Linked DNA regions of Oryzias latipes. The protein of the gene in region 1 interacts with the protein of each later gene in a biochemical or structural test. Links are inferred from orthologs where the notes say so. Each region holds a gene or a part of one and is shown on either strand. Other genes may lie near its edges. The genes, in order: CCAAT/enhancer-binding protein beta and cebpg.

Region 1 (15,041 bases):
GTGGTGCTCAGAGAGCAAGTTTTTAGAGGAATGGTCAGAGATGTTGATTTTGCATGGGATAGGTCCTTTAAATGATAAGTTGGTTTCATTTTCCTGCAGTCCTTGGCATCTTTTCACATTGAAAACAGTGTCATTTAAAGATAACATGCAAATTCCACTTTTTTGAGCTTTTATGTGTTTTACAATGTTCATTCTTCATTATAAACCATTTTTCTGTCTAAAAACCTGCTCTCTGAGCACCAGCCCCTCCCAACACACAAAAACAAACGGGTCCTGACATTGTGACCTATGAAAGTGAAGAAAAGCCTCTTCCAGGAAGAGTCTGCACTGCCAGCACCACCCCCAGGCTGACACAAAAACACACACTTTCTCTGCAGAGCTAGTGGTGATCAGCAGAACTTTTGCATTTAAGTATTTCTATCAATTGTGTCCCATCTATAATATTTCCCTGGTCTAACAGGTAGGTGTTAGTTACTTTAGACGTTGGTCTCTAATAGTGGCCGGGCTCCTGTAAGACACCTCCCCTCCACCAGGTCATGCAAGGTCGTGCAGACGTGGGGGAGGCTGTGGTATTTGTATTGTAAGCCAGAGTAGCGATGGCCAAGAAACGCGCATTCGAAATAGTGTTTAAACTTCGCGTGGTGGCATACACCAAAGAACAGTCTGGTGAGGAATCTGCGCGGCCCTTTTGGGGTGGATCCTAAACGTTTCAGAGAATGGCACGAGCAGATGGATGATATTGAGAAGACGGCTATGGAAAGGGAGCAAACGATTTCTTGGTGGAGGTACAAAGAAAGCGAGCGATGAAATAGAAGAACTTGTTTTAACATGGATTATTGAGCAAAGACGGAAAAATGTGCACCTCTCCAGGAAAATGATCCACGTGGAAGCAAAGACGATTTTTGATACGGAGATTGTTGAGGCTTTAAAGAGAAAAGAAACGTTTACATCCAGTGCTAACCAGAACATAAAACAATGTTCTAATCAATCAATAAATCCTGAAATGTTCATCTGGTGGCATTTTGTGACCAAATTTCACAGAAATATGAACCCATTAGCCGACACCGGCATCTGTGATGGAAGAAACACCGGTCTCTAATAAATGTAGGATTGGCTGCCAAATATTTGGAATAAACGCTGGGGCTAATTAAGGCAGTTGGACAATATGCACAGCCATCTTTGAAAAATGTGGATATTTGTTTTCAGGGAAAACGCAGGCACGCTGTCAAGGGCTCTAGCTTGGTGTCATGAAATGGGCGGGATCCACAAGGAGTGAAAGGCGGAGTCTCAGAGTTCAAGTCGTCTTTATTCAGGGTAGGAAAAGAGTTCTCAAAAATAACTTATATTTCACAAACAACTTGTTTGTTTGTGTTCCAGAGGTAATATATGATCATAAATATGAATATATTTTGCTCTGAAAGACTTAAGAAAAGGTTGATATAGGCCTTTAAAGAAATCTGTAAATGGAAACTTAAAATGCTTCAGAACTTGTACCTGGACCAAAGAGAGGGTTGCCCTGACCTCAGATCAGATTAAACACGAGTTCCAAAGCACAATAGACTGAGGAACCTTTGCAATGGACCTCAGTCATCTTAAATTTGTGATGATGTTGTTTGTTTGTCTTTTTTTTTTCAGAAGAAAGGCAAAAGTAATTTATTCATAAAAGAGAAATTTAAATAATTGGGGTACAGTCCAGTTCTTAGTCGATAAATTTGCCTAGATTAGACACATCTGATGTTGTTTAAAGATTGGACTAAAAGAAGAGATGTCAAAGTTTGTGGATATGTCTGTGTGCTGTGACTGTTACGCAGCAGTGCACTCCTGGAATCTCCCTCAAATTATTAAATGGGCTTTCCAGTAAAATACCACAAGAGAAACTGGTTGTATTTTTTGGAATGCAGACCGTTTATCCCACATTTTGTCTTTCTGCTCAGCTTTCCATTACTGCACTTGCATACCACACTCTTTAGCAATGACCTTCAATGTCTCCCTCCTTGTTCAGGATGCCATTGATCTTTTCCTGGAAAACTGTTACATGTAAGTTACTATTACCAAAATAAATAATAAAAAGGCTTAAATATTGGAACTCGTTGATATACAAAATATACAGATGTACTAAGCCTTATTTGTATTAAAGGTGTAAAGACTATTTTAAAAATGTCATTGTCATTTTGTCGCTTTATGTACCTGGAAGCGGCTGGATGGCCCGGTTGGCTGCGTGTAAGACTGGCACGCGGGAAATCAGGATTCATTTCCCAGCATCCATTGTGGGTTATGCAGACGCAGGGGGCTCAAGTCCAGGCTGGGGACCCTGTGGTCCGAATAAAATACAAGGTTGTGTCAGGAAGGGCATCTGGTGTAAAACACTCTGCCCAACCAATTGTGCAGATCAGTGATGGCTGATTCTCTGTGGCGTATCTACTGCCAATTTATTTTATGTATTAATCTGGCATGTTTGCAAATTTGAACCGAAGTGTTCCCTCTTGGCTTTTAAGGAATCCTTGTAGGGAATACGTAATTGGTTAAGTTAATTTCTTATTTACAAGATACAAAATAAGTTCATCATCATGTGTAGTCATAGCTGATCCAACTCCTGCAAAGCTTTTTGTAGCCCTTAAAAATGAGGCCTAACAGGTAAGCAACAGGAAGTGCCAAGCAGGTTCATTTGGAATCATCCTTAATCTGCGTGAACTTGTGCTTTGATTCCAGTTTGTGCACTTTTTTCTGTACACTTTTGGCTAAGTTTTGGTTGTCTAGTAATTAAAATTAAGGTAGCCTCAAACAGAAAACTCACAAATGAACATTACTGGAGACTTTTTGCTTTGAACACCTTCATATCTGATAGAATTTGTTATTAGCGCCACCTCCTGGCAATTTAGTAGTGCTTTTGCACATCTCTCTCTCATGGCTGACTTTGAAGAAGAATATGAGCACAATTGGCCACAATTTGTTCTAATTTATTTCTCATCATTAAAAAGGCAAAATTCACTATTTATGATTCATTTGACAATTTTTGTAATCCTTTCTTTCTCATTAAGAAGCATATCCTTGCTGTTTTAAGCCTGAACCCCCTGAAGACAACTCAAGTCTATCAGAGGTCCACACATATTCACATCTTCTTTTACACATTATAAAGAGAGATTTGAGGAGCAGATACGAGCTCAAGTGGAAGCAGTGAAATCTCCACTTACGATTTTAATGATTAGCTTCAGCTGTAAAATGCGATGCTCACTATCCTCTCAGATTTTTTTCCTGTCTGCATGCGTGTCTGAGCTTTGATACTGGCGTAAATGGCGTATATTTATATAGCGCATTTCTACCTACAAGGACAAAGCGCTGTACAGTCACAGACCCATTCATCCAGTCACACACACATTGACACACTGGTGGCCGCTCCGCTGCTGAACACAGGCGCCCGCCCTACCACCAGAGGCAAGGTGGGGTTCAGTGTCTTGCCCAAGGACACTTTGACTCATGGGCGTGCAAGGCGGGAATCGAACCTGCAATCTTACGATCATGGGTCGACCGCCCTCTGTTGGTGGGAGAACATCACAATATTGAACCACAACCAAACAGAATAGATGCATGATGATAACTAAAGGCAAGAATGTCACTGTCCAAAATGGATCATTTTACTTGATTAGTCCTTACTAGTCCAAAAACGTGCTTCATAGGTTAATAGGTTACTCTAAATTGTCCCTCGGTGTGAATGTGAGTGTGCATGGGTGTGTGATTTGTGGCCCTGTGACAGACTGGTGACCTGTCCAGGATGTCCCCTGGCTCCGGCAGCCCCGTGACCCCGAAAGGGACAAAATGGGTTCAGAAAATGAATGAGTCCTTAATAAAGCCAATTATTAATTTTAAATACATATATACAGGTAAGAAGTAAAAATATTACAGGAAACGAAAAGTACATAGAAGACGATCACAGGAGCTCCTCTGTTTTCTTTACACACCACAGGAACTTTGCCTTATTGTTCCTTTTTTTTTTCTCGTATTTTTGTTTTTCAAGTATTTCAAGTTTGTCCTGTTCCCAGTATACACTTTCCACCTTCTGTGATGCAGGTGTGATCTGATTGGTGCAGGTGATGTGAAGACTCAGTGATTGGTTGATCTTAAGATTACAAACATTACAAAAACCCCAAAAATGTTACCTTTGTTTTAAAAAGTTAGCCCATAAATAGATTTAAGTATGTCAAAACTTTACACTGAAACACAGATAACTTAGTTGGCAGTAACGCCCAACGCACTCATGATAGAAATGCAAAGAAAAAGAAAAAATAGTTTATAATTAGTTCATGTACTCTACTTCTCTTAACATTCAGGTGTTAAGTTACCCCAGTGCTGTGACTGGAAGCAGAGATAAAGCAAATGAGGGTCAGTTGTTTTTCAGGGAAGCATTCAATGAGCTCAACAGTTTACCAACAATCCACTTTATGAGAAGGTTCATGAATTTGAAATGTTTTTGTGGCCTGCAGTTCAAATTCCTTTACAAAGTTTGATGTTTCAGTGAGAGAAAGCACTGTTAAAAAAAAGACAATTCTCTCCAAACCTTAAATGGTTTCCTTTATCAGCCTTTCAAAGTAGGTCAAAAATGAAGTTGTGGTTTTTCTGTTGAAAGAGTAGTAGAGGGCAATTTTTTAAAATGAAAGTTAAGCAAAAATAAGCTGTCAGGAAATGTTTTGAATCAAAATGTTGCAGTGGCAGTTCATCAGCACAAAGATATTTTCCACTTTAATGCCCTTTACAGGTACGTGAACGAAAAATGAAGCCGAAAAATAGTGTTCCACACTCACAAGTGTCTCTGATTTGCACGAATATGCAGCGTGAGGTCAAAAACACCCAGTTGTAGCAGATATAGTGAAATATATTCATCTCAGAGGAGAAGGAAACACTTTGAATTTAGCAAACACATGTGACCATGCAGTGTGGTAGAATGTTCTCATAATGTTCCCTTTGGATTATTTTGAGGTGGAAAAACAACAGTGGACTGAACTTTATGTTTTATAACTTATGAAAGGATTATCCATTAGTTCTTTTTTACTTGTTTGTTTGTCTGTTTGAACACTGTTCAGTGCCAAGTATTAGTGGTTGAATTTTTGGTTGCAGATGTCCTGAATCAATTTAGATCAGTGAATCGCATCGAGTCGGATCAACTATTAATCGTAGCAGCAACCACAAATTATGATATGAATCAAATCGCCGTTAAAATGCATCATTGCACCCCTACTCAGAAATGTGCAGCATCAAAGTCACGTGTTTTTGTGTAACATGTCACAGGAAAAATTTGAATGCTGATCCAGAATGACATCTCAGATGAAAACGTTGTCTGTATGTGACGCTATAGGAAGAGAAGGGAGCACTCCCATGGAGGCACTACAGATGTCATCTGTCATTCTGTTTGATGGAGCTGCCTGACAGGGAGCTGAAAGTAAAATGCAAACATCGAAGAAAAGTTGGAAGCAAAGGGAAAACTTCAAACTGTTTCAAAGCAGTTTTAATGGAGCAAGAATTAAACTTAAGCCAAAAAAAAAGGTTTTTCACTCAAACAACAAAAAAATGTATACATTATCAATTTAATCCCTTTGATTTATGTGCGATTATATTCAAACATCAGCCAGGCCTGATGTTAAAAGCCTTTAGATACCATTTGGAGTTTTTTTTTCTCTCCAGTACAGTCTTGTCATGATATTCTGCACCGACCGCTTCCTAACATGCAAGTCATGGTGACTTCAAATGGAAAGTGACTACCTCTGTTTTCTTCAGCAAATCACACAAGAAATGTCACACACGTGTCTTAAAATATGCAAAAGATGCTCGAAGCACCAAATTGACAAGTGCTTGACAAGTAATTTTCTAAATACTCTTAGCCACACGGTGGCAGTAAATCCCAATTTGCAAACCAGTTTCTCACCAATAAATAAATTGTAGGTATTTCTTCTCAATCTACGTGCACGTTTAAAGCAAACGTGTAATTCTTATCTGATCTTATTCAGAGTCAGTTTATTTTTGGGGCCTCATGATTGTCCAGGAGAGGCTTCTATTTTGTTCTTGCTGTGAGTCATTGGGTCATGCTTGAAGTCATGTTGTGGGATAACACTGATCCCACGAGACAGTCACATCTGTCTTTGACGACAGTGAAATGTTTCTGACACAAACCAGCACAGTGATGGATGGGGATGTGTGCATCACTTCCACAACTGTTCATTTTTGTTTTGGAAATAATGTGTTCAGAGATGTTTTGATTACAACTGAATGTGATTTTCTGCTGCAGGAGTTAAGGAAATGTGTCCAGAAAGGAGCAAAGTAATTATTTATAATAACTTGTATTGATGCTTACTGACAAACAATGAAAGACTTCACTTTAAATAGACAACAAGTCAAGTTCAGGTTTTCGTTTGTCCCGACATAAACAGATGAATGCGGGAAACGTTCTCCAAAGTGGAACAGGTTGTTCGCTGACAGGCTCCGCTCGTCACACCTGCCCTGTTAGGCCCCGCCCCCCGCGCTGTGGAATAAAACCCTCTCGAGACAGGAAGGTCTGTCAATTCCTCCCAATCCGCCACAGAAAAAAAAAGTTGCTTCTTGTTGTTGCCACATGAAGTGACGCGGGTGCTTTCAGCTCGCTGCATTCCGACACGTTTTCTCCAGTTACTCAGCTGAACTTGAAGAACTCGGGGCGCCTCACCTCAGCCCTGCCCGCTCCTGCAGTCCGGCGGGAGTGCAGATCCATGGAAGTGGCCGGCTTGTACGAGGAGGGAAGCTTTGCTATCCACGGCAGAGACGGTATCATCAGTCCCATCGTCGGCGGCTCGTACTGGCGGCTCGGTGACTCGATGACGGAGCTGGGCATTGAGGAGCGGGAGAGAGCGATAGACCTGAGCGTTTACCTGGACCCAGCCTTCCACTGCGCGCAGCTGGCGGCGCAGACGCAGCCGCAGGGGGACGCGTACTCTGACTTTCTGGCGGAGAGCAAGATCAAGAGAGTCTCAGCTCTCCAGAGCTACAGGAACTACTCTTTGCTGGGCGAGCTGGAGTCGAGCCAGTGCGACCCCCGGCAGCCCTACTCGCTGGGCTACTCGGAGCTGCAGGAGACGCGCGCGGACAGCGTCCTGAGCCCCGAACTGAGCCGCTACAGAACCGCCGCCGCAGCCGCCGACAGAGACGACAACCTGGAAGACGCCAAGATGGAGAACGGCTCGTCCGGGTTCGACATGAGGTCCTATCTTCATTACCAGTCCACCAGCAGCAGTCTGGGGAACATCTCCACTGCGTCCTCCACCTGCTCCAGCCCGCCCGGCACACCTGCGCCCTCAGGTAAAGGCAGGTCACCGTCTCACGGCGGCAAGGGGAGCAGCGGGAAGTCTAAAAAACGATTGGACAAGGACAGTGAAGAGTACAAGCTGAGGAGGGAGAGGAACAACCTCGCCGTGAGGAAGAGCAGGGACAAAGCCAAAATGCGCAACTTGGAGACTCAACACAAAGTGCTGGAACTGGCCGCGGAGAACGACCGTTTACAAAAGCGCGTGGAGCAGCTGTCTAGGGAGCTGGCCACGCTGCGCAACCTGCTCTCAGCAACTGGACAATGTTAGGTACCCCCCTCCCACGAGAGAACCCCCCTGTGCCGCTCCCTCAAGTGGACTGGAGAGTGCACGGTGATCCAAACGGTACACAGGTGAAGGCGGCCATCCCCAGTTTACAATGGACACTGAATAAGACTGAACAAGTGGGTGCATGGATTGCGCAACCGTTCACCACTCTTTACATGTCACTGTGGCTTTTTCCTCACATGTAATGTTTGTGTATGCAGTATTTCTGTGCAGGTTTTACATACATACATTCATACCCTTGAATTTCTAGATTTTTGTGTGTGTGTGTGTGTGTGTGTGTGTCTGCAGCAATGGCTGTCAACGGGGAGAGTTGTGCTGCAGTGAAATGATGCAACTCTTTGTAATAGTATTGGCAATGAATGAAATAAGTCTAATTATTTAAGATTTAAAAAGGTGAAATGCTTTAATTGTACTTGACATTGGATTAAATAGATTTATACTTTGTTTAAAGGAATTTGCACGCTCTTTTCTGTCCTTTCCTCCGCAGGTTTAGGGTGCAGACAGGCACACAGACATGGGCGTTCACACTCAGACTCACACTTAATCCGTTACAGCATATTGCGTTGAGGAAAACGGCTGTTTTTATAATCCAGGTTTGCGTAAAATAAACTACAAATCACGAAAAGAATCCTACAGGCCTTTAAATATTTGAACCTTTGTTGCACAAAACGTTATTAATTAATCATACGTATTTCATTATAAAGTAGAAAATATAGTTCTCTGTAGTTAAAAAGCTTTAAAAAATATAGTTTGGAATCTTTTTAGTCATTGGTTTTTGTCAAATTGCACTTAAAACAAACATCTCTTGCAGATAACCTTTTACACAAAACACAACCTAACTCCTCACACTCTTTTTTTTCCTCTTTTTAAACAGGTTCATTTTCGTTTCTGTTTATTTTAAATAATTGACGCATTCTCCCAAGGGTCCTAAAATAAATCAAACCCATTTATGCTGAAATGATACTGCTGAGAGGGCAGAAAAGAGTCGGTCGCTGCACGCAGCACAGAAGTGTTGGCTTTATCTTTAGCACAGGGCTCTGTCAATAGTCTGCTGGGTCCACTGGCCTAGAGAGGGGTTCAAGGTTGCACAGAAATTAATCAACAACTAACCTCATCACACCATTTCAGGTCACGCTCAGGCAGCAGAGACCTGGCTGACGTGACAGATGCCTGTTAATCCTTTGCAAACTTTTATATTTTAAACCAAAGTTGAAATAAAGAAAACATTAAAGTTTCCTTTAAAGTGGAAGGAGCAGATAAGCTCACAAGTGGTGGAATTTTTCCAGGCCGTCAGAATGTATTTGACTGGTTTGAATCGTATCAGGCAAGCACACCCCTGACGGAGCAGATAAACAAGAGACGTGTGCAGCCTTTTCTCCTTTTTGCATCACAATTTCTTTTAAAAGCCGCAAAAAAGTCAGCGCACGTTCAGTGAAAGAAGCCTGAAAACTGCGCTTTGCTGTTTGTGCAGCGAGAGATGACATTTTGGATATTTCAACACACTCAATGATAAACTGTTTAGCTTTAGAATTATGCAACATCCTCCCTTTCCAACACATCACCACAAGAAGAGCGATGCTTGAATACGACATTGTTATCCTCTGTCTGTCTTACAATAGCTGTAAGAAGCTGTGGTTTGGTTTCAGCCTCACAGGGCAGAAGAAACTGAGTAAAAAACCAAGAACACATTTTTTTTAGCTGAGTGTAAAATGTAAGCTCAGTCTTGAAATGATCACACAAGCAGCGGGATGTTTCAGAGAAACATTTTTGGCTCGCCGTGCTGCTCCTGCGGTTTTCTTCAACGGGCCTGTCTTGGCTTCAAACATTCTAGGCATTCTTTCTTCGATGACCCCTTGTTAACTATTGGCGCTGCATGCGGGCCTCCTCTGCTCCCAGCTCGCATGCTGACAGGCCAGAGGGAAATTCCCATACAGGATGACCTCTGGAGAGTTTAGCCCAGCCTTCCTTTCCACATCTTACTGGCAATGGGCAGTGTCTATCTGTAAACTCTTCATTGCATCACAACCCCCCCTCCAAAATCGTCCCTAAAAACAAAAACTCCCAATAAAGCAACACACACGTACACCTATCATCCTTTTGTCCGCTTTGTACTGGTTACGAAATAGAAGAAACTTTTCCTCCCCTGAGTCATGCTAAGATGAATGAAGAAGTTCCTCAAGCTTTGTTTTGGTGATTTATAAACACAATCTTATTTTTCACACATTGTTCAGGAGTTACACAGAGATAACAAAGTCTATTATTCAACTTAAGCCCAAATATTTAAAACAGTGTTCAGAAAATAGCTCTGGGCACTTTCACAATGTGCTGTTTGGTCAGTACCATATTTTGTTTCCTCAGGTGATCTGGGTTTTTAGGGGAGGTGTGAAAGTTTACTCTTATGTTGATCAAACGAGTTAACTGTGTTCACAATTCCACCTTACGTTTTACTCATTCCACTCCCGCTGTACCATATGTGACAGTACCTCTTGAAACCACTAGGGGCAGGTTACAGAGGAGAGCAGTTTTCCATTGAAATCCCTGTTAAAAAAGCCAAAACTTACACCAAAAGTAACAGTAAGATTTTTTGCTAATTGTGACAAATGAGAAAGGTATGAATAAAAGAATTCTGATTTTATTAGAGCTCAATTTTTTTTTTTTTTTTTTTTTTTTTTTGGTGGGGGGGCATGTTTTTTGATTCTATGAAGGCAGTAAAGCACTAAATAAGTTTACCATTTACCAAAGCTGCTTTAGGGTCAAACCAACAGAACTTCAATGTTTACTTTGTCCCACCCAAAAGCTGTTTTTTTTTAACAATGTTGAAGTGAGCCAAGTGAACTCCAATTAACATCCCCTTAAAGTCCCATTCCGATCATCTTAATCTATTGGAAAATCCTTCCCAGTGGTTTCTTATTTACGTTTATTTAATTTTTATTTCTAAATAAAAAAACTGTGTCGATTTCTATGATATAGTTTCTGCAGAGGGGCAGTAGTTGATAATCCGGTTATTTGGGTCTATGGTTCACTAGCAAGTGTACTGTGGGGTGTTTCAGCAAAAGTGTAAACGCAGATGGACTCTCCAGCTGACTAAAATGTGGAAGCAAACCAAAATAATCCATGGCGTAAGCACTGTGCATTTTCAGTTGGGGAAAAACACAGCCCCTAGCATGAATCCAAGGAAGTGGCAGTCAAAAACATGTCATCTTAATAAATAGGTTGTTGCAGAAGTGAAGGCACTCAAATAAATCTATGCAAGTCTAAAGACTAACAGGACTAACCAGTTTTCCCTCTTTTGCTTCCTCATCGCCTTTTCCTTTTAGGCTGCTCCCTTTAGGACTCGCCACAGCTAATCATCTGCCTCCATCTAACCCTCTCCTCTGCATCCTCCTTGCTCACACCAACCACCATCAGGTCCTCTGTCATTGCATCCATAAAGCACCGCTTTGGTTTTTCCTGGTAGCTCCAACCTCAGCATCCTTTGACCAACTGTCCCTTTTTTTCAGTGTGTCCAAACCATCTCAATCTGCTGTCCTGCATTTATCTCCAGAAAACCTAACATGAGCTGTTGTTTTCATTCTTCTAAGACCTTTTTGTCGCACATCACACCCAAAACCCTCTTTCACTCTTCCAACCCTCTTTGCAGACATCTTTCCTACACTCTCTGTTCCTCTGGACAGTTGACACTCAGAACGTTAAATCCTCCACCTTCTTCCCCCTTCCCACTTCAGTTCTTCTCATTTATGAACAGATTCTCTGCGGCTGATCTTAATTCCTCTCCTTTCCACAGCAAACCTCCACCTCTTTAGATGTTCCTCCTGTATCACCCTATGCGCCTCACTTTTTCTGGAAAAATGTTCGCCACTCCTTTTTTTTCATTCTTTTGGTGAAGTTCACCACCATCTGTCCTCCTGCATACCTCTCCTGAACACTATCACTTCCTCATCTACCCCCCCCCCCCTCCTCCACACGTCCATTAATGTCTGTCTAATCACTGGTCTCTCCCCTCTAGAACTTCTCCTTCTCCTCCAGCTCACATCCTACTTGATGACCATAAGACACATCATCCAACATCACACCTTCAACTCATCTTCCTATCTGACCCCATGTTCAACTCCAGAACATTTTTAGCAAACTCCTCCTTCAGGATCACTCCCATTCTGTTCCTCTTTCCATCCACATCATGATAAAAACAGCTTGAACTCTGCTCCCAATCTATAAGCCTTGTTCTCCTTCCATCTGGTCTCCTGAACACACAGGATATCTAATTTCCATCAACTCTCTAGCTTTGCCTGTCAAAGTTCAAACAGTTTTTAAACTTCTGCCTGGATGTTTTTAATGATTGATACACTTTTTTTTATTTTTAAAGAACATCAGTATTAGTCATTTACTAAAAAGTGATCCTTTTAGAGCAAAATGCAGATGACCTACAGAGGAAATAAGTGCCACTCTAAATATCTTTTCATCTATTTTCAGTGGTCTCTCAATTATGATTAGGCAGTTTTTAGCCCAACTCAAACTTGTGCAGAGCAGAAGGCGTTCATTAGAAATTTACCTCTAATGTGTAACTCCTGTCACAGAGTAAAGCATGTCCCCACTTCCCATCATCCCTTTGTTGACACTTTTAGCCAGCTTACAGCCTCCCACTACTCCAAGCTAACATTACTGGTGCAACAATTATGGTGAGCATGGTGTAGATATCCAGTCGTTCAGTTTTGAGCCAATGAATCTATTTGTCTGTAAGTAGATGCACTGAAATGGAGCAGAGCGGGGAGCTTGAGGCATCCTGTTGTATTTTTTTATTATTTTTACATCACAACTACAACCTTCAAACTGCAGTTTTCGTCTGCTCCTGATTCACAACGATTTGAATACAAAAAAAATCTCAGAAATGCAATTTTCAGCATATTTTTCTTTATAAATGTCCTCCATCCTTAAAGCAATGAAACACAATTTTCATCAGAGTGGGTCTTTAAAGAAATACTCTGAACTTGTGACCTGTAAAATTGCCAGATCATGAAGTTGTGCAGAATCCTGCAGTGGGGATTTGGATCCACCTCAGAGTTATTATCTTTATCCTGTGACGAAATGCTTGTTACCCCTTAGCAGCCAAGATAATCAGTTGCCAAAGAAGACAGAGAAACTTAGCATCCAAGAAAGAGACAGTTTATTAATGCATGATCTTTGTGGAATTTCTTCATAGCGAGACACATTTAAAACATCAGCGGTTGTTTTATTAGGAAAATGAATGACTGTCCTTCCAAAAGTGTGTCCTGTTTTACCCTGTTCAATAAAGGTTTAGTTGGTAATCCTTAAGGTGCTAAAATAAAAGTATTTGCATTAAAGTGAGAGCTTTCTGATTCCCCTTCATAAACAGTACTGCAAAAGTCCTTGCAATAGGACCTTTGCAAAAAGATTTCCTACGTTTTGGAGACTGTCTGACCTTTGCACTGGTTACCACACTTTTATTGATATGTTCAAAAAGCTTTAAAATGCAACATGTTTCCTCATTCTTGTTGAAATGTAATGGGATCCAGTTCAACCATTTCCACCACTTTGCTGTATATTAATTCACAAGAAAAAAAAAACAATACTTCCTGAGAAATGCTTCTTCATGATGACAATATTTTTCCTCCAACACTAAACAAAGGCTTTGAAATTGCTTACTAATCAGGCTTTCATTAGTCGGAGCAACGCAAGACTTTCAGTGATCATTTTCAATCTCATTTGTTTTCATGTCAGCCCTGTTAAGAGGAGCTCAGAAGTGTTCCTGTGGCGGTAAATGGGTTTTCCCCTTCGATTGTGCCTGTTTTCAATGTGGTTTCAGCAGCGGGTCTCGAGATCAACGCCAGCTCTCTGTCTTGCGTCTTGTTTGCTTAGATTTCTCTAAATGTTTTGTGGCGTCGATGATGACATTCTCCGATTAATTTTGAAATCTGTCTCCAACTGTTGTTGCCTTTACCCACAAAGTTTGATCAGAGTGAAGACTTCACCTCCTTTAGTTGTGAAACACTCAGATCTGCAATTACATGATATTTGAAGACAAGCAGGACTGAGAGGCATGAACGAACTCCCTCCAAAAATTACAGCCCCTCTTTTGACAAAAAACAATATTTTTTTCTAAATTTACAGTTGGTTTTAACACTGTGATTTTCATGAATTCCAGTGTCTTCGCTCACTGAAAACCGCACCGGACATCCGGACCAAAGGTTGTAACGGGAAACCAGGCTGCATAAGATACGGTAAAAGGACCAGAACATGAGCTGTCTTGAAGTGAACCAAAATTTCAACATCTTGGTTCACTTCTGCTATTCTGTCGAATGGATGACTGTGAAAGAGACAAAACTGACGAGCAAAAAAGTAACTTGTGGTCACTACACAGCAAATGCCACTGCACAGATCTTGTGCAACAGCTCACTTCCTTGCACAATGACCTCCCGCTGATTATTAGAGCGTTATTAATGTCAACGTTTTAACGCACCATGATGTGGGAAAATGTAAAAAGCATCACAAGTTAAAGTGGGGGAAATACATTGATAAAATATTATTTTCTACTTATAAAAAATTCCATTTCCTCTTCTACTTTATATTAAAGCCCAAAGTGCTTTACTGTCAGCCCCATTTACCCACACACATTCATGGAACCAACCTGTAACCACCTGGATCAGTGTGGTTTTTTATTATCTTGCTCAGAAACACTTTAGCAAGCACGGTGGGAACTGAGCCCAATACCTTCTGATCAGAGGTCGTCTACTATACCTCTGCACCACAGCCGCTTCAGATTTTCAAAAAGGTCGGTGGGTTGTAACATTTGAACCCCTTAAGACCCTTGATAAAATCAAACCCTCATGAAAAATATTGGGCAATAAAGCAGGTTTACAACATTTGATTAATGAAATTGATCTTCACAAAGTAAATGGACTACCTGTTGGTAAATTCCATAAAAAGATCTTCATTTCAAACTGTTTCTGGTACTTTCTTTAAGTATTTGTGCTTTTCTGTTAGTTTCTCAATAAGAGTTCATGATATTTCACTTCTGTTGAGTTGAAATGAGAAGTTCCACAATAGAAGGCGTTTTCATATTCAATAAAACTGGTTTTAGGATAGAATATGTAAAAAAAAATCAAAATTCAATTTAATTGTGTTGAATCACTGATTCAAAGGGATTTGGTAGCTTGGCATTGATGTCCTACCAGGATATTTTTGAGCACTTAAAAAACTTGTGGAATACTAATAGTTTTTTCTTTATTTTATTTTCATTGAGATTCTTTTTTGGTTCTAGGCCCAACATACACAAGGCATACATTTACAAACTAATATCTGTCTGCATTCAGTTATGAAAAGGAAATATTGTAAAAGATAATAAAAAATTCTAAGAGTTGATTTAATACTAAATCGATTTTATGTGAAAGAATATTTGTGTTGACCTAACCTCTG
Region 2 (15,629 bases), on another chromosome or scaffold:
TGTTCCCTCTGGATCTACCTTCATGCAGTCTTCTTTTTGTAGTTTTTCATATTTTGATACAATCTTTTTGTTCAACCCATGGAATAAAAGCTGAAAGTCTGCACTTCAATGGCATCCGAGGTGTTTTATTTCAAATTCACTGTGGTAATGTACAGAAACTAAATTAGAAAGAATGTGTCTCTGTCCAAATATTTATGGTCCTGACTGTAATATCCAAGCAGATTTTCTTCAAACTGTCAGAGTAAATCCCAAAGTCTCATACTTAACATCACACAGGAACTTCAATCTCAATTCATTTGACAATATCTCAGTTCTTTTTTTTACTTTTCTGGTTGTTGTTTTTTTCTTTCTGGTTTTTCATCTTCCACCATAACTTAGTGATGAGAGCTTTGGTGATCCAACATCATGAGCCGCCTTCACGTAGGCCCACCACTCACAGGAAGAACCACAAGGGCCAGTCCTGTGGGACCTGGGGAGTGGTCAAAGACGGGGGCTTCAATGCCCCATCCTCCAGTGATGGATTCAAGCCATCAAGACATGGAGGGTCGCCTCAGTGAGCTGGAAAGAACCAAAACCTGTGCGGGAGGCCGAACGGTGAGTGCCTGGAGAAACCTGGGGTCACCTCCACCCACAGTTTGGACTCTGAAACCCTTTAAGACCGGGAGACGGATGGAGCGGGAGACCGACAGGTGGATAGGTGCACAAACCTTTCGGTCTGTTTGCTGTGTTCCTGTGCAGGACATCCTGAGGCAGTGAGCCAATCAACTGAGAGGAAAAATGACTCACATTAAGCGACTTCCCCTGAAATTCACAACCAAAGTCGCCTTAAAACCCAACAAAATTAAAAAACATCAAACTGAAGGAAAATTACAGCAGATTTGAAATTTTTATTTTTCCTTTCAAATGCTTTCTTTATGTTTTTAAACATTATATTTGACTCGTTGTCCGGTGTCAGAGCTCACCTGTAAACAGGTGTAGTTGCAGGACGGTTACAAACAGTGCCTCGTGCTGCAGGTGTTTAACAAGATGGTCGTTGAAGGCATCACAGTTTCACAAGAGTGATCTCTAACGTAAAGTCGAACGTGTTTGAACGCATCTGAGCAGCCTCACGTTATATAAACAAAACCGTCGGGACGGCCGTCAGCTATTGGCCTGTAGGCATGCCAATCACGCGGTGCATTGCGTCATCTTGCTGTATGTCCAGCTGTGATTGGTTGAGAGGCCTCTACGCTGCGGAGGGATCGACTGCGATTGGCTGTTCGCTGACATTGCCGAACATGGTAAGAGATTTCGCAATCCGCTCCTCTCCATGTTCCAAACAAAAACAGTCGGAGCTCAGACCGACGGAATAAACTCCAACTTTGCCCCACAACCATAACCGATTCCTCGGATGGTCGGCTCGACCAACGCCCAGTGAAGGTAAACTGTGTTCGGGCTTTTTTACGGAGGCGGAGCGGCGAGCTAGCGGTCAGGCTAAAGCTAGTTAGCAGCGGAAGCTAACTGGCTACGTGAAAAGACCGATTTGAGAACTAAATGCTGTATTTTGGTGTTTGATTTCGACTGTTCGGTGAAGGAAAACGGGGTTTCGACGGAGATGAGACATCTGCCGGTTGATTCTGTGACACTAAAAGTTGTTTGAAAGTGCCGGAAGTGAAAGTGTCGGACTTGGATCAAAGTGTTCGGGTCCGGCTGACGTGTCGCTCGTGTCACGTCTGTTGTGGAAGCTAAACAAAGTGTCCTGAAAAGTGGGTTTATGCTGAGCCCCGCATGACTCCGGAGTTCCCCTCAGTCGGCACAAAGACGCCCGCTGACGATGATGCAATAGCAGGCAACCAGCCTGGCCGCTCACCCGAAGCGCTTTCGCTGCGCACAGCTGACCCGCTGCATAGCAACGCGACAGCCAATCAGAACGAAGCGCTGGATTAAAATCAGAGCAATCGTCCAATGAGAAACGCGGCTCTGAATTTCGTTCCTTTGAACGTCACCTCGGTGGGAGGGTCAAAGGAGGTGATGAAAGCAACATGGATTATTGATAAATGATCGTAAATGCCTAGAAACATTTGGTTAGGCGGGATTATATGTTTGACATAGTTTTAAGATAAAGAGAAATTAAAGGTATTCATAGAAAAAAGTAAAACCACTCCTAAAATGTACATGTAACTACAAAACAATGCAACAAATAAAAGAACACATCCATGATTTGTTGTGAATGTAATCCACTATAATAGCTGCTGACAGCTACTATCAGCAGAGCATCACTTCATCACATGGTTTCAGTCTGTCACTTAAAAATATTATCTAATGCTATAATAATAATTCAATAAAGTGTTGAAAAGTTAAAAGTTTTAAGTATTTAGTTTTATTTTTGTACTTTTTTAAGTCCAAAAATGTTGGGATCTTTGTAATTCCTGACCATTTGCTGAGGTAATTCCGTACCTTTTGACGCGGTTTGCCCTTTATTGTGGTCTTTATAACCTAGTATGGAGTTTTTCCTGATGGTTCTGGAGCTTCTGCCATTGAACCCATGCGGTCAGAGCAATGTTGTTGTGCAGAAGGGAACTTTTGAAGCCGTTTGTTGAAGTTCTTCAGATGCGTTAGTATTTACGAAGGCTTCCACGCTCATTTAAAATTCAAATTCACATGAATTTCATTTCTATAGCACCTTTCATGTAAAAAAAAAAAACAGCTGAAGGTGCTGTACGTAAAAACAAATAGGAATGCAGAAAAGACCAATCCCTGTTCATGCAATTACATAATTAAAGAAGCCCCGCACAATTAAATACACAAAAACAAACTCAAGTAAAAGAGAAATGAGGAAAGAAAAAAGCCAAAAAAGAGAGAACCCAGAAGGCGCCGTCTGGCCTGTCCTCCTATTGGCCGGGGTGTCAGCATAGACACTAACACCCCAGCCAAGGGGGAGAAAACACTCGTAAACAGACTAACTTGGATCAAAGACATGAAACAAATAAATATCTGTTAGGCCTGCACAATATACCGCAAATTTATCATTATCGCAATTTCAAGCTGTGCAATATGCATATCGCAAAAGACAGCAAATTTGCAATAAATGGTTACCTTAGATGTGGCCAAACAATCTTATGGCAGCTTGAAGTGTTTAACGGACTGAAAGAATCGCTTTCTGCATTTGACCAATCAGATGGACCCCTTCACGTTGTTAACTAATCGGATGGCGCCCTATTATGTTGCATGTTCGCCTCCTATGTCAACAAGGGTCATTTGTAGTATAATTTTTAAGCTGTTGTAATGGAATGGGAATAATATTTTTGGTTGTTTTGCTAATTGTTTATATACCGCAAATTATATCGTTATCGCAATATTAATCACTGATATCGCATATCGCGAGTTTTCCTCATATCGTGCAGCCCTAATATCTGTTAAAATATAAGAGTTACAAAAAGTATCATTTAGTGCTTCTCCACATGTCACCATCTTCAGCTGAAGGCGTTTTCACACGAAATGCATCTTTACATCTGATGTATGGATTTCAGTGATTTGGATTTATACCCTCAGCTTGCATTCACACTGAAGTGAACCGTACCAGAGTTCATCTGCAGAGCTCTCTGGTTTGCTCTTTTATTTCGTAGACTTCTCACATTTCTGGATTTTGAGGGGAAAGTATTTGCTCTAAAACAAAAAAAATGTTCTTTTTAAAATTTGAACAAAAATAGAGGAGCAGAGCTTTGCAGATAAATGCACTGACGAAGAAAGTGGGCGTGGCCCTTTTCTTTTGTAAACAATACAGTCCCTGACAAAAGTCTTGTCGCTTCTCCATTTTGTAGAAACAAAAGCCTCACTGTTAATGAATCCATTGGTTTTAGAAATGTCTCATATGAAAGCTAAAACCCTCCCAAATTATGTTCAATATGGTAAAATAAAATTGCTTCACTGAAGAAAGATTGATCAGTTAATGAACTTTCATATGAGACATTTCTAAAACCAATGGATTCATTAACAGTGAGGCTTTTGTTTCTACAAAATGGAGAAGCGACAAGACTTTTGTCAGGGACTGTAGTCCAGAGCTTCATATCAGAACGACAAAAATTCAAACATCTGTTAAATATTCTGATGTTGGTTTGTCTGAAACGCCATCAGATCTGTGATTTAATTCAAGTCACGTTGATGGAATCAGGCAGCACTAAAGGCAGCAGAGTTACTGATGATGATGTCATGTGTAGGACGATTTCAGGCTCTGTCCTGTTTTATTTCTGCCCTTCAGCCCACCCTTTCTGTTCCTTCAGCATGCATTCATGCTGCAGACCCCCCACCCAGACAGAGAGGTTTTCACAGATCCACTCTGGAGTTTGATCAGATTCAATTTCAGTCTGACGCAAAGGAGCAGCAGGAGAAATGACATCATCATCTACATCCTGACATGTAACCAAACAGAATAGGATAGTTTCCCGCCTGCGGTGTGGGCCGCACGGCTCCCCAAAGCGCCGCACACTTCAGGTGAACCTGGGTGGAGGTTACTCAGCCACCGAAGTTCTTCTGGTCTGTCAGCTTTGGATCTAACGTGTCCTGCAGCTCAGTCCCAAACATCCCAGAACTCCTGAAGAGGATGAGCAGTTGCTCAGACTCTGGAGGGGTTTCCATCTCTTCAGACCAGCTTATCCGTTACTTTTAAACGCTTCAGGAGCCTGAACGGTGCTTCAAAAATAAAGGGTGGGGGGACACACTGACTCTCTCTCCAGAAACAATAAAGTGTGATGATGAGGCAGCAGGACCGGATGAAGGAAAGCTGCTTTAATGTGACAAAGAGGCTTTGGTTCATGTCTGCACCGCTGCAGCCACGCTTTCTCACACGGAAGTAAACCAACGCTCCTCGCCACGGCGTGGATCTTTTTCAGAGCGTTGTTCTCATCCCTCTGATCCATCAGGTCGCTAAACTACAATCTAATACTGGGAGGTTCTGCAGAACTTTGACCCGCTCTGCCGACAGCATTTTAGCCGATTAGCCTATTAGCCGCTGAGCTTCATTTATTCTGATCTGAGCCGCTAAAAAGCACAGCAATCCGTGTTTTTCTATGTTACCGGCAGCAACACGGCAGAGTTTCTGTTCGGTACCATCCTAAGTAGAAACTCAGTAGTTCATGTCTGATAACAACAGAACCAGCTGCTTCTAGCTGAGGTCTTCCTGTAGTTTTGTAGAGCTGCTCAAAGAGGCTCCATGTTCTCTGCTGCCAACTAGTGGTTGGAGGTTGAAGTGGACAACAAGAGGCAGACGCTGAAGGACGCTCAGAAATAAATAAATAAATCTGTTCCTGACAGCAATTTGAATCCATACAAGTGTCACCAAATGAACTATCGCCACATTTCACCTTATGGATATTTTCTAACACTCCTCCTGTAGAGCCCTGAATTTTAAAAGCAGTTCAGACACATGACGTCATGGATTTCACAAAGTTTAAATTTAATAGATATGAGCTCTTTGGGACGATGATTTATGAGTCCACTGTCTTCTGAAGATGAATCGTTGATGATTTATTAAAACAATACTTTTTTTTTTGGCAAAAATTGTTCCAACGCAATGCATTGTGGTCTATATTGCATTGATGCATAGTGGTTTTTCAGAGACTTCTGGGAAATTTCTAGGGCCCTGGATTTTGGAATTGTAGATTCAGACAAACTAGAACATGGAGAACGCTCTGTATAGGCGTTAGGGTGGGAATTCGGCCACGTCTTATGTGTAACTGGGCCCACTAGATGGTTGTCATGGCAACATCATGAGAGGGCGGAGCTGTTACAGAGAAGTGAAGTGAAGTGTTTCTGGGTTCTCTATTGGCGGTCCTCAGGTTCTGAACTTCTCTGTTCCTCAGGCTCGCTGCAGCTGGACCGCCCCGCCCCGCCCTGCCGCGCTCCGCCCCCAGAGCCGTCTCTCCACCTGAGGAGATCAACTTAACAGCTGCGGAGGATCCAAATGAGCCGGCCGTCACAGCCGAAACACACCACAGCTGACCACAACGGCGTAAGCGTCATCCAGAGCCAGACCCACGCCTCCTCCGCCCTGCCGGCCGCCGCCGGCGGACTGCAGCAGGTCCCACAGCTCATCCCAGCCAACCCTTCCGGCGCGGGCGGCAAGGCCCTCCCCCCAAGCAAGATGAAGAAGCCCCCGGCAGACAAGGACAGCGAGGAGTACAGGCAGCGGCGCGAGCGCAACAACTTGGCGGTGAAGAAGAGCCGCATGCGCAGCAAGCAGAAGGCGCTGGACACGCAGCAGCGCGTCAACGAGCTGAAGGAGGAGAACGAGCGGCTGGAGGCCAAGATCAAGCTGCTCAGCAAGGAGCTGAGCGTGCTCAAAGACCTCTTCCTGGAGCACGCCCACAACCTGGCCGACAACGTGCAGCCGCCCGCCGGCACCGGCGGCTCCAGCCCCGCCCCCAACAGCACTTCTGCCAACGGCCAATGAGAGGCGGAGCTTCAGGGACATCAGGAAAAAAGCCTCGTCTCCAGGGCAACAATGCTTTTTCACCCCAAGCCCCCTCACCTGGGACTTTCAGCAGACTGTCCAAGTGAGACCACAGACTGAGGCCCCACTCACAGGAAGTCCCTGTTTTTTATGGTATCCCTTCAAAATAAGAGTTTTAATCTGTAGAACTTCACTACATGTTTACGATGATCGGACGCTTCCGCTCATTTGAAGAGCAGACGGGCGGAACCAGACTCCTCAGCTTTGTTTAAATCCTTTAAACCAGCCGGGTCGTTAGTGGTCTGCTGACGCGGCCTGAGCGAGGGGGCGGGGCTCAGCGGGCCGCTCGCACACTGTAATCAGGGGTGTGGGGTGTTTGCCAGGAGCACCCCTCCCCGCAGGTGTGGTTCTGTCTGAGCTCGGGCCGTGTCTGTGCAGGTCTGAGCGGCACACCTCAGTGGACGGACCCGGATCGCCGCCGCGCTTCAGTGGAGCCAGAACCGGCCTGGCTGCTGGCCCGCTGGAGCCTTTTTCACTTTTCTATCCTCGTTTTTTACTCGTCATTCCAGCAGCAGCATGGTTTGAACAGGAAGTGTTTGCATGCCTGTGGGGGTGGGGGTGGGGGGGTCAGGTCCTCTCGGTTCTGCTCGTCGTCACTCTGCTTTTTTTCTATCAGCACATAAATGTGGTAAATTAAACGTGCGTGTAAAAGTTGAAGTGCTTCCTGTTTCTGTCATGTGACCTCTGATGTCATCACCGCCTTTACCTGAAGACAGGTAACAGCCACTTCAGATTCACAGGGTTATTGTTTTTAGGGTGAACGAAAACCAAAGCTGTGAAGGAGGTGGAGTCTCCATGAAGCTGGCCACGCCCACAAGACGTTGACAGATGAACCGTTTTTGATGAACTACAAATGCGTCGTAGAAAAACGAGCTTCTTCTTCTGGAGCAGACGTTTCTGTGGAGAACCAAAGGAATTGGATCGGTCAACCTGGAGACGCTTTTGCAGCCCATAGGGAGAGTCGGTTCTGGTCCGGAGTTCTACCCGCAGACCCGAATCTATCTCCCTGAAGGAGCGGAGAACAGCAGCGGTGTGTCCCGGTTCTTCTGGTTCTGGTCCAAACTCTGGCTGCAGCGTTCTGAAGGAGCATCCAGCCTGAAGGGGCGTCTCAGAACCCCACCTGCAGTGGGCAGAACCTTTGATTGACAGGCTGTGTCGGCCGTAGGAGGTGTGGATCGATGGTGGACGTGAAATGTTTGTGTTTTGAACTTTTCCTCTGCAGTTTCCTTTGGTTCCTCCAATCAGAGACGTTCTTCAAAGATAAAGTCCCACATTTGGTGTGTGACATTTGTTCCCCACATGTGACCCTGCAGATCTGAGCTGGAGACACAGCCTGGATGTCCAGTCACAGGCCGGACACTCTACCACAAGGCCGCTGAGCTGGTTCTTCACCCGGCTTTTGGGTTCTCTTCCTGGTTTCAGCAAAGCGGTTCTAGTTTTTCTATCATAAGGATCAACAGACTGAAGAGATGCGCTCCTTAAGGATCCTGAAGCGGTTCTCACTCTGATTTGATTTGATTTGTGGAGCTTTTGGTGTTTTTTACTCGTGTTTTAGGAACTGATTGAGCCGCAGAAGAGAATGATTGAAAATCGGTACCAAACCAATCAATGGCGGAGCAGCAGAAAGTGGGTCATGTTGGTCCGGTTCTCTGGTCTCTGCTCTGACTTCCTGTTTCTCCAGAACACATTCCTGAACCCCCCCCAGAACCTCATGGTTCTGACCCGTAAACCTCCAGATTTCTCTTGTGGGGCTGCAGAGCCTCAGAACTGTCTTATCAGAGCGTGGAACATGCGCTCAGACGCTCGCCGTGTGTGCGCTCAGATAAGAGGCGAGGTTATCAGGCGGAGGTGATGAAGCACCTCCAGCCGCCGGCCTTTAAAACCACAGTGAATGATTGACGCCATGACCTCATCGCCTCTTTGTTTGTTGCTCTGGCGAGCGGTCAGACGTCTCTGCCTGACACACAGCCGCCGCTGCAGCCAGGTCTAAAAATAGCCGAGGAGGCTCGGAACCTCCTCCTCTTCATCATTCAGGATCAAAGCAGCAGGTAGATTTTCAGCTGTGCTGCAGCAGCGCCCCCTCCAGGCGGAGCGGAGCGGCAGGGGTCTGGTTGAGCTCCAAACCGTCTTCTGGAACTTTCCCAGACGTCTGTCGGGTTTTCCTGCCGGCCTTTGGACCCGGCGGCGACTCCGATAAGAAGTCCAGACTTCCAGGTATTTAATCAGAGGAGCTCCGCTCTTCTCAGTATCTCTGGAGGCTGCACACCTCCTCGCCACCAGGCATCTTCAATACGGGCTGACGGAACCGGGTCACAGGAGAGGATGTGATGTGACAAAAGCCCGGTTCTCCATCTGACGTTCTCACTAGAGCCTCATCCACAGACGGACAGAACGTGGGAAGACCAGGGTTTGAAGAGGGTTCTGCTCTGTTATTGAGGAGGAGGCCACAGCCATAGAAGCACATCCACTAGATCTGTCCTGAAGAGCCTCCTGTCAGTCAAAAGACCACGCCCCCTTTGCTTTAAGGCTGTTTTACGTCTGCAGCTCCATTAGACGGCAGCTTCCTGTAACGAGATCTGAACATCCGCCCAGCGTCTCCTGATGATCCAGACCCTAAGCAGACCTCCACGGAAACCCCTTCCATGTCTGTCCCAGCCCCGTGATGCTGTGACGTGTGGAAGAAGCGTCCGGTCACACGGTACACGGCTCTGTCATGAAGGTCCCCGTTTCCCTCTGAAGCAGGAACAGACCAGGAGGTCCTGAAGACAGGAGGAACGGTTCTAGAGCAGGACTGTGGGAACCCAGCAGAACCGGACTGGACTGAACCAGCCTCCAAGTATATTTCTGTGTGTGTGTGTGTGTGCCTGAGTTTGTGTGTGTATATTTGTGTGTGTGCCTCTGAGTTTATGTGTGTGTGTATTTGTGTGTGTGTGTGTGCCTCTGAGTTTGTGTGTGTGTGTGTGTGTGAGTTTGCGTGTGTGTGCGCCTCTGAGTTTGTGTGCATTTGTGTGTGTGTGCCTCTGAGTTTGTGTGTGTGTGTGTGTTTCTCTGTGTGTGTGTATGTGTGTGAGTGTGTGTGTGTGCCTCTGAGTTTCTGTACATTTGTGTGTGTTTCTGTGTGTGTGCTGCCTTTCTCTCAGTCTTTTTCTTCTGCAGTTTGCAATCTGCTCTTTTTTTTCCCACGATGCTTTGCTTCCGCTCCACGTTGGCAGACCTGAAATCTTCTAAAGCTTCAGATATAAAAATGAACGATGACCTGCTCCTCCGACGCCAGAACGGATTTGCTTGAAGTCGGCCTCCTGCGAGATTCTGGCAGCGTTCTTCACGCAGAAACATCTGGAAAACGTGTTCTGGACTCGCCTCTCCTGCAGGAAGATCCGTGCACGGACGCTCAGCTGCAGCCTCCAAACCAGACGGATGGAAGGTGACGTCACAGCTTAACGACAGAAGAACTGGACCAGAACCGTCTCAGTCCGGGCTCCTGTCATCGGACACGTCAGGTCGATGGCAGAACATCTGTCTGTTGAATGAGGAGGTGATGTTCTCCTCGTGTTATTCAATAGACCGCACCCATTAACCGCGGCTCACACAGACCAGAACCATGTTCCAGAACCATGTTCCAGAACCATGTTCCAGGACAGAAACGGACCTACTGAATGAATCGGCTCCATCCTCTTCCAGCAGGAAAAGGTTCTCACGAGAACCTACCTGATGCTTTTGCACCCTAGTGGTCATTCCAGGAACTGCACAGAGTTGTTTTCATGGTGGGTCATTTCTCTTCGCTGAGGTCCACCTCGTGGTTCTGGCTGATCCAGTTACAGCAGAAGAACTGGGACTGACCTGAGGCGAACAGAGGATGAACCTCAGCTGGTGGATCCGGATTGGTTCTCAGATGTTTCCTGAGGAGGAGGCCGAAGGTGAAAGCGATTATTCTGGGATGGATGGCGAAGCTCTCGGAGCAGCTGTCAGACCTCCAGACGTCTGTGAGCAATCAGAGCGGCAGTGATTGACGGGCCGGGTCGGGCTTGTCAGGAGGAATTAGGTGTGCGGATGGGAGCAGGATTCATGGCGGAGGCCGTTAACGTCAGCGGGAGTTTGGCAGCGGCCCTCTCCACGCCGCTGATCGCTTCCAGGCCTCACAACTCGTAAACAAGATCAACGCGGGCTGCGTGTCAGCGAGCCGCAGCGGCGGGAACGCTGACACACGGTTTCAGAACCGGAGACCGGGTCAGAGGGCCTACCAAGACCTGGACGGACAAACCCCTCCTACAAAAGCAACACTCTGTGTGTGTCTGCGGGCTGTTTTGTGTTGTTTTGGAGGCTTTGTGTTCTTCTCAACTCAAGTAGTTGTCCTGAGTTTGTGTTTAGTTTCATTAATTTGTGAGTTTCCTTTTCTCTGAGATCCTTTTTGTGTTAATATTGTCTATTAGTTCTGGTTTTGTGTGTCTGCAGCAGCTGTTTCTGCTTCTGTCAGAGACGACCTTAACCGCCCCGCTAGGCGCTGTGATGCTCTGTGTGTGTGTTTGTGTTGGTAAATGTGTTTTTTTGTTGTTGTTTGTACTTCTTTTTTGTAAATTCCATGAACCAGCTGTTGGAGGGTCACAGCCAACCTTGAGCATGCTCAGTGTGGATCTGTTAGTGTCTCCGTGTTTTTGTGTAGTTCCAGATGGACGGAACGATGATTTATGAAACTTCTTTTGGTAAAAACAACAATTTTTTTCTTTCAATTTGAAAATCCTTTCTCACTTTCTGTGGGAAAGATCGGAACGTGAATTCCAGTGTTTGCAGATGATCTGGTTCTTTTATCTTCATCATCACAGACCTCCAGTTCTCTCAGAGCGGTTTGCTGTTGGGACCAGGTAACCTCCATGCTTGAGGTGACGGTTCAGAAAAGGTTCCAGGTCTGGACCGAGTCAGAAGTTGAAGTACCTGGACGTTCACAGGTGAAGGTTTGATGTAGCGTGAGGTGTGATGGATGTGTGCGTCTGCTGTCATGGTTATGTGGTTCCGTTTGCTGTGGTGGACAAACATCCGAGTCTGAAGAGAAGATCTCGATGTACCAGCAGGCCTATGTTCCCACATCAAGTTGTTTTTGTACACATTCCTTCTCGTCTCGTTCCGACCTTCACCCTGACCACGACCTGTCCGTCATTGATGAACGGTCAAATGCTGCACATGGAGGCAGAAACGTTCTTCCTGCGGGCCGCTGCACGGCCAAAGCTGCATCTTAAGTCCATTTCATTTAAGACCAAATCATCAGTTTTTGGTTTTATGGCACCAACGAGTGAACTTCTCCTTTTAAAATGTCTCAGCTGTAAAAAAAAAAAAAATCAGCCTTTGATTAAAAATGTTTAGTGTTTTTCATGCTGTGGCAGTAAAACTGCATGTTAGATTTCAAATGTTTCCACTGACATAAACTATGTTTGCTACATTCATGTTTGTCCGGGTCGAGTCTTTGGTATATTTTAGTGTCATCTGCGTAAAGTGACAGATGAAGATTTCATTCATGAAAATTGGGATCTGGACTCTAAAACTTTAAAGTAATCATGAAGGGAAACTTGACGATTTCCAGAGGACTTATTCATTTAATGAAATTCATGTTATGATTTTAAACATGTTTGGAGTTAGGATTTGTAGAGTTTTAAGTAAGTGAGACGATTTCTAAACCAGCTTTGAAGTCCCGTTTATTAAAGGTGTAAACATAAAATAAAAGAAATCATCAGAATTTAGAATTCATCAGGAAACAATAAAAAAAAACGTAAATCTGAATTTTAAAGGAAGTGTCATAGTGTTAACAAATGTAGCCCACAGCACCCCCTGCTGGTAGCTCCCTTACTTTGTTCAGTCTTAACAAAACGCTGATAGTGTTCCAGGTCTTTCAGGGCTGTTCTGCCGTCTGCGGCGTTATCTCCAGGCGACCCGGACACGGCCAGGTGGATGATAGCTGCGCGGCTGCCGCTTTGTTTTATTGTGTGCCGTATCTCGGTCATTCCAACTGTGATAGAACACGCTGTCTGAACCCTGCGATAGCGAGGCACCGCTATGGCAGGCCATTTTAACATTAAAAGGCTAGACTGGATGTGTGTTGCAGATATCTTTATTTGAGTTTTGCCTAGTCAAAAAGAACATTTCAGATATCCGCAACTACATTCTTCCTATCCGTAATCGTAATTTTAGATATCCTCAAAGATATTATTCCTAGGACAAATGACATCACTTTCACCATTCATTTGTATGGGGTTTACAATTACAGATATCTACAATTCAGTTGCAGATATCCACTTCATGAATTACGGATATCTGTAACTGAATTGTAGATATCTGTAATTCAAGTTTCAGATATCTACAATTTCATTCTTACTAGTCAAAACTCAAGTTAAAGATATCTTTAATTCAAGTCAATTTAAGATATCTACATGTTCCTTTTCAGATATCTTAAATTAAGTTTTGACTAGGCGAAATGACGTTGTAGATATCTGTAACTGGAATTGTGACTAGTCAAAATGACGTTGTAGATATCTCAAACTGGAGTTAGGGATAGTCATAATTTAATTGTAGATATCTATAATCAAGTTACAGATATCTTGAAATGAAATTTGAATAGAGATATCTGAAACTTGAGATATCTGTAATGTTCATTCAGGATAGTCAAAATGTAATTACAGATATCTTGAATTAGAGTTTTGACTAGGCGAAATGACGTTGCAGATATCTGTATGCAAATTAGGTCCGCATCGCACTTTAGGGGAGGAGCAGAGCGTGTTGTTGTAATCATTTAAATTGCACCTGCTAACTTGTAATTAGCACTGATTAGCACCATGTTGCAGCAGTACGACGGAGTTTTAGGACTAGTTTACAAAAAACGTTTTGTTTTCTTTAATTACAACTTTTATCTCGTAAATTTAGGAGATAAAAGTGTTGTGGAGTGTGTGTGTGTGCGCGCGCGCATGCGTGCGTGTGTGTGTGCTGAGATGGGGGTGAGTACGGAGCGGAGGTGTGTGCGTTGATACTGTGTGTTCGGAGGACGGAGCACCGTAATAAAGAGAAGGTGTCCCCCCCCAGAATAACTGTTTTGGAGTCGTTCTTAATCCGCACTGGAGGTTTAGGGTTCCGATCAGGACAGTGAACCCCGAGGAAGAATCGCCTTCGGCGGAGGAAATCTCCCCTGCGCTTCTGACAGCGGTCGGAAAGAGAGAAAAGAAAAGAGAAAAACACCAAGTCTTCCGTTTATCGGAGCCTAGCTTTATTTCCGGATAGCTTTAACCGAAGTGATTCTGAACCTTTTGGCGACTCAAAATCAGATTATTGTCAGTGGAGCGGGCTTTCCGGGGTTCGGTGTCGGTAAAGCGGAGTTTTATGTGTTTAATAAGGAGCTCAGAGACACGTGTGGGTGCAGAGAACCGCTGCAGCCTTTATTCTCCTTTTCATTCACATATCCTGAAGTTCATCTGTCACCTTATGTCATGAACCTGTCATCCCAACACCAATGCAGAAGTAAACAGTGTTACATACACCTCTCCTCCAGATGAAACGTCCCGATCCAACATAAAACAATAAAGAGGAATGAAAATAGTCTGTTATGTTAGCATTACAACGTGGAAAATGCCAAAAGTGCTCCTCCACAGACGGAAGCGTCACAGAAACGTAGAGATCTTGTCTTTAATGGAGAAAGAAAGGATTCAGGTGGACATCTGCAGGGACACTGACGGCTTCGTGCTGCAGAGATCCTGCAAACCACCCATCAATGAATAAAACATGAATAAATCATAAATCAAACTAACGAATTTCCAAACATTTAGAACGTTATCAATAAACATTCAGCTCACCTCTTCAACAAAGTTTAGTCGGTCTGCTGCTGCTGTGTGGCGTTCACCTGCTGCTCATCATGCTCACTTCCACTTAATATCGTAAATTTAATTTAGGACTTAAAATCTTTTAATTTTACTGTTTTTGGTGGCCCTAAATCTCCGTCGTAGAGCAGCCAGCGGGCGAAGCGATTTTTAATCGTCTTTTTAATGCTGCAGCCCGTGCAAGACAGGAGGAGCCAGTGATGATGACGTTTGAGATATCTTTAACTGTCATTCTGCCTAGGCAAAACTGAATTACAGATATCTACAATTGTCATTTAAGATGTGTGACGAGTTGAATGTCGTTTTCAATGACGTCATTGCAGATATCTGTAATTCAGTTTTGACTAGGCAAAACTGAATTATAGATATCTCTATCGGTCGTTTCAACTAGTCACAATTACGTTACAGATATCTTGAATTACAATTCCAACTATCCAAAATGTAATTACGACTAGTCAGAAATACGTTGCTGATATCTACAATGTTCATTCCGGATAGTCAAACTTAGCCTTTTGATGTTAAAATGGCCTGCCATACACCGCCCTCCTCAGGTGCCCTCTGGTCACCTGACAGACGAGCTCACAGGAACATGTGACCTGCAGTTCAGCAGGGTGACGTCACCGGCAGCTTTTACGAGCTGAACGAGACCGGTGGCAGTAAACTCCCACACGGTTAAGGTCTTTGGATCTACAGAACCGCCCTCAGCTGCTCTGCTGCATGCAGCCGCCACCCTCCTCCTCGGCTCAACTCCCACCTCCGCCGGAGCCAAACCTGGTGGAGAAGGTTGAGTCCAGGTGTGGACTGGCTCACGGTGTGTCAGGCTGAAGAGTTTTCTGCCCTGGTTGGTGCCATGATGACATCAACGCATCGTCATGTTAGCCTGTCACGTGACAGGACAAACCGCTCCTCCCAGTTGTTCTCCTCCTCCCATTGGTTCTCCTCCTCCCATTGGTTCTCCTCCTCCCAGTTGTTCTCCTCCTCCCAGTTGTTCTCCTCCTCTCTTTGGTTCTCATCCTCCCATTGGTTCTCCTCCTCCCAGTTGTTCTCCTCCTCCCATTGGTTCTCCTCCTCTCTTTGGTTCTCATCCTCCCTTTGGTTCTCCTCCTCCCAGTTGTTCTCCTCCTCCCAGTTGTTCTCCTCCTCCCATTGGTTCTCCTCCTCCCAGTTGTTCTCCTCCTCCCAGTTGTTCTCCTCCTCCCATTGGTTCTCCTCCTCTCTTTGGTTCTCCTCCTCCCATTGGTTCTCCTCCTCCCATTGGTTCTCCTCCTCTCTTTGGTTCTCCTCCTCCCATT

The links.
Region 2: the proteins of CCAAT/enhancer-binding protein beta (region 1) and cebpg form a complex in vitro, tested with the Homo sapiens proteins (2 studies listed by BioGRID and IntAct, with this or other methods). The link is inferred for Oryzias latipes from reciprocal best matches to the Homo sapiens genes CEBPB and CEBPG.

What each region holds. Positions count from the first base shown.
Region 1 is NC_019865.2:21,864,807-21,879,847, reverse strand, and holds CCAAT/enhancer-binding protein beta, read left to right. Parts: upstream 1-6,535; 5' UTR 6,536-6,731; coding exon 6,732-7,592; 3' UTR 7,593-8,064; downstream 8,065-15,041. UniProt on the Homo sapiens protein: Important transcription factor regulating the expression of genes involved in immune and inflammatory responses. Also plays a significant role in adipogenesis, as well as in the gluconeogenic pathway, liver regeneration, and hematopoiesis.
Region 2 is NC_019861.2:37,761,292-37,776,920, reverse strand, and holds cebpg (CCAAT/enhancer-binding protein gamma), read left to right. Parts: upstream 1-1,171; 5' UTR 1,172-1,280; exon of another isoform or gene 1,281-1,419; intron 1,420-5,837; 5' UTR 5,838-5,938; coding exon 5,939-6,427; 3' UTR 6,428-7,144; downstream 7,145-15,629. UniProt on the Homo sapiens protein: Transcription factor that binds to the promoter and the enhancer regions of target genes. Binds to the enhancer element PRE-I (positive regulatory element-I) of the IL-4 gene. Binds to the promoter and the enhancer of the immunoglobulin heavy chain.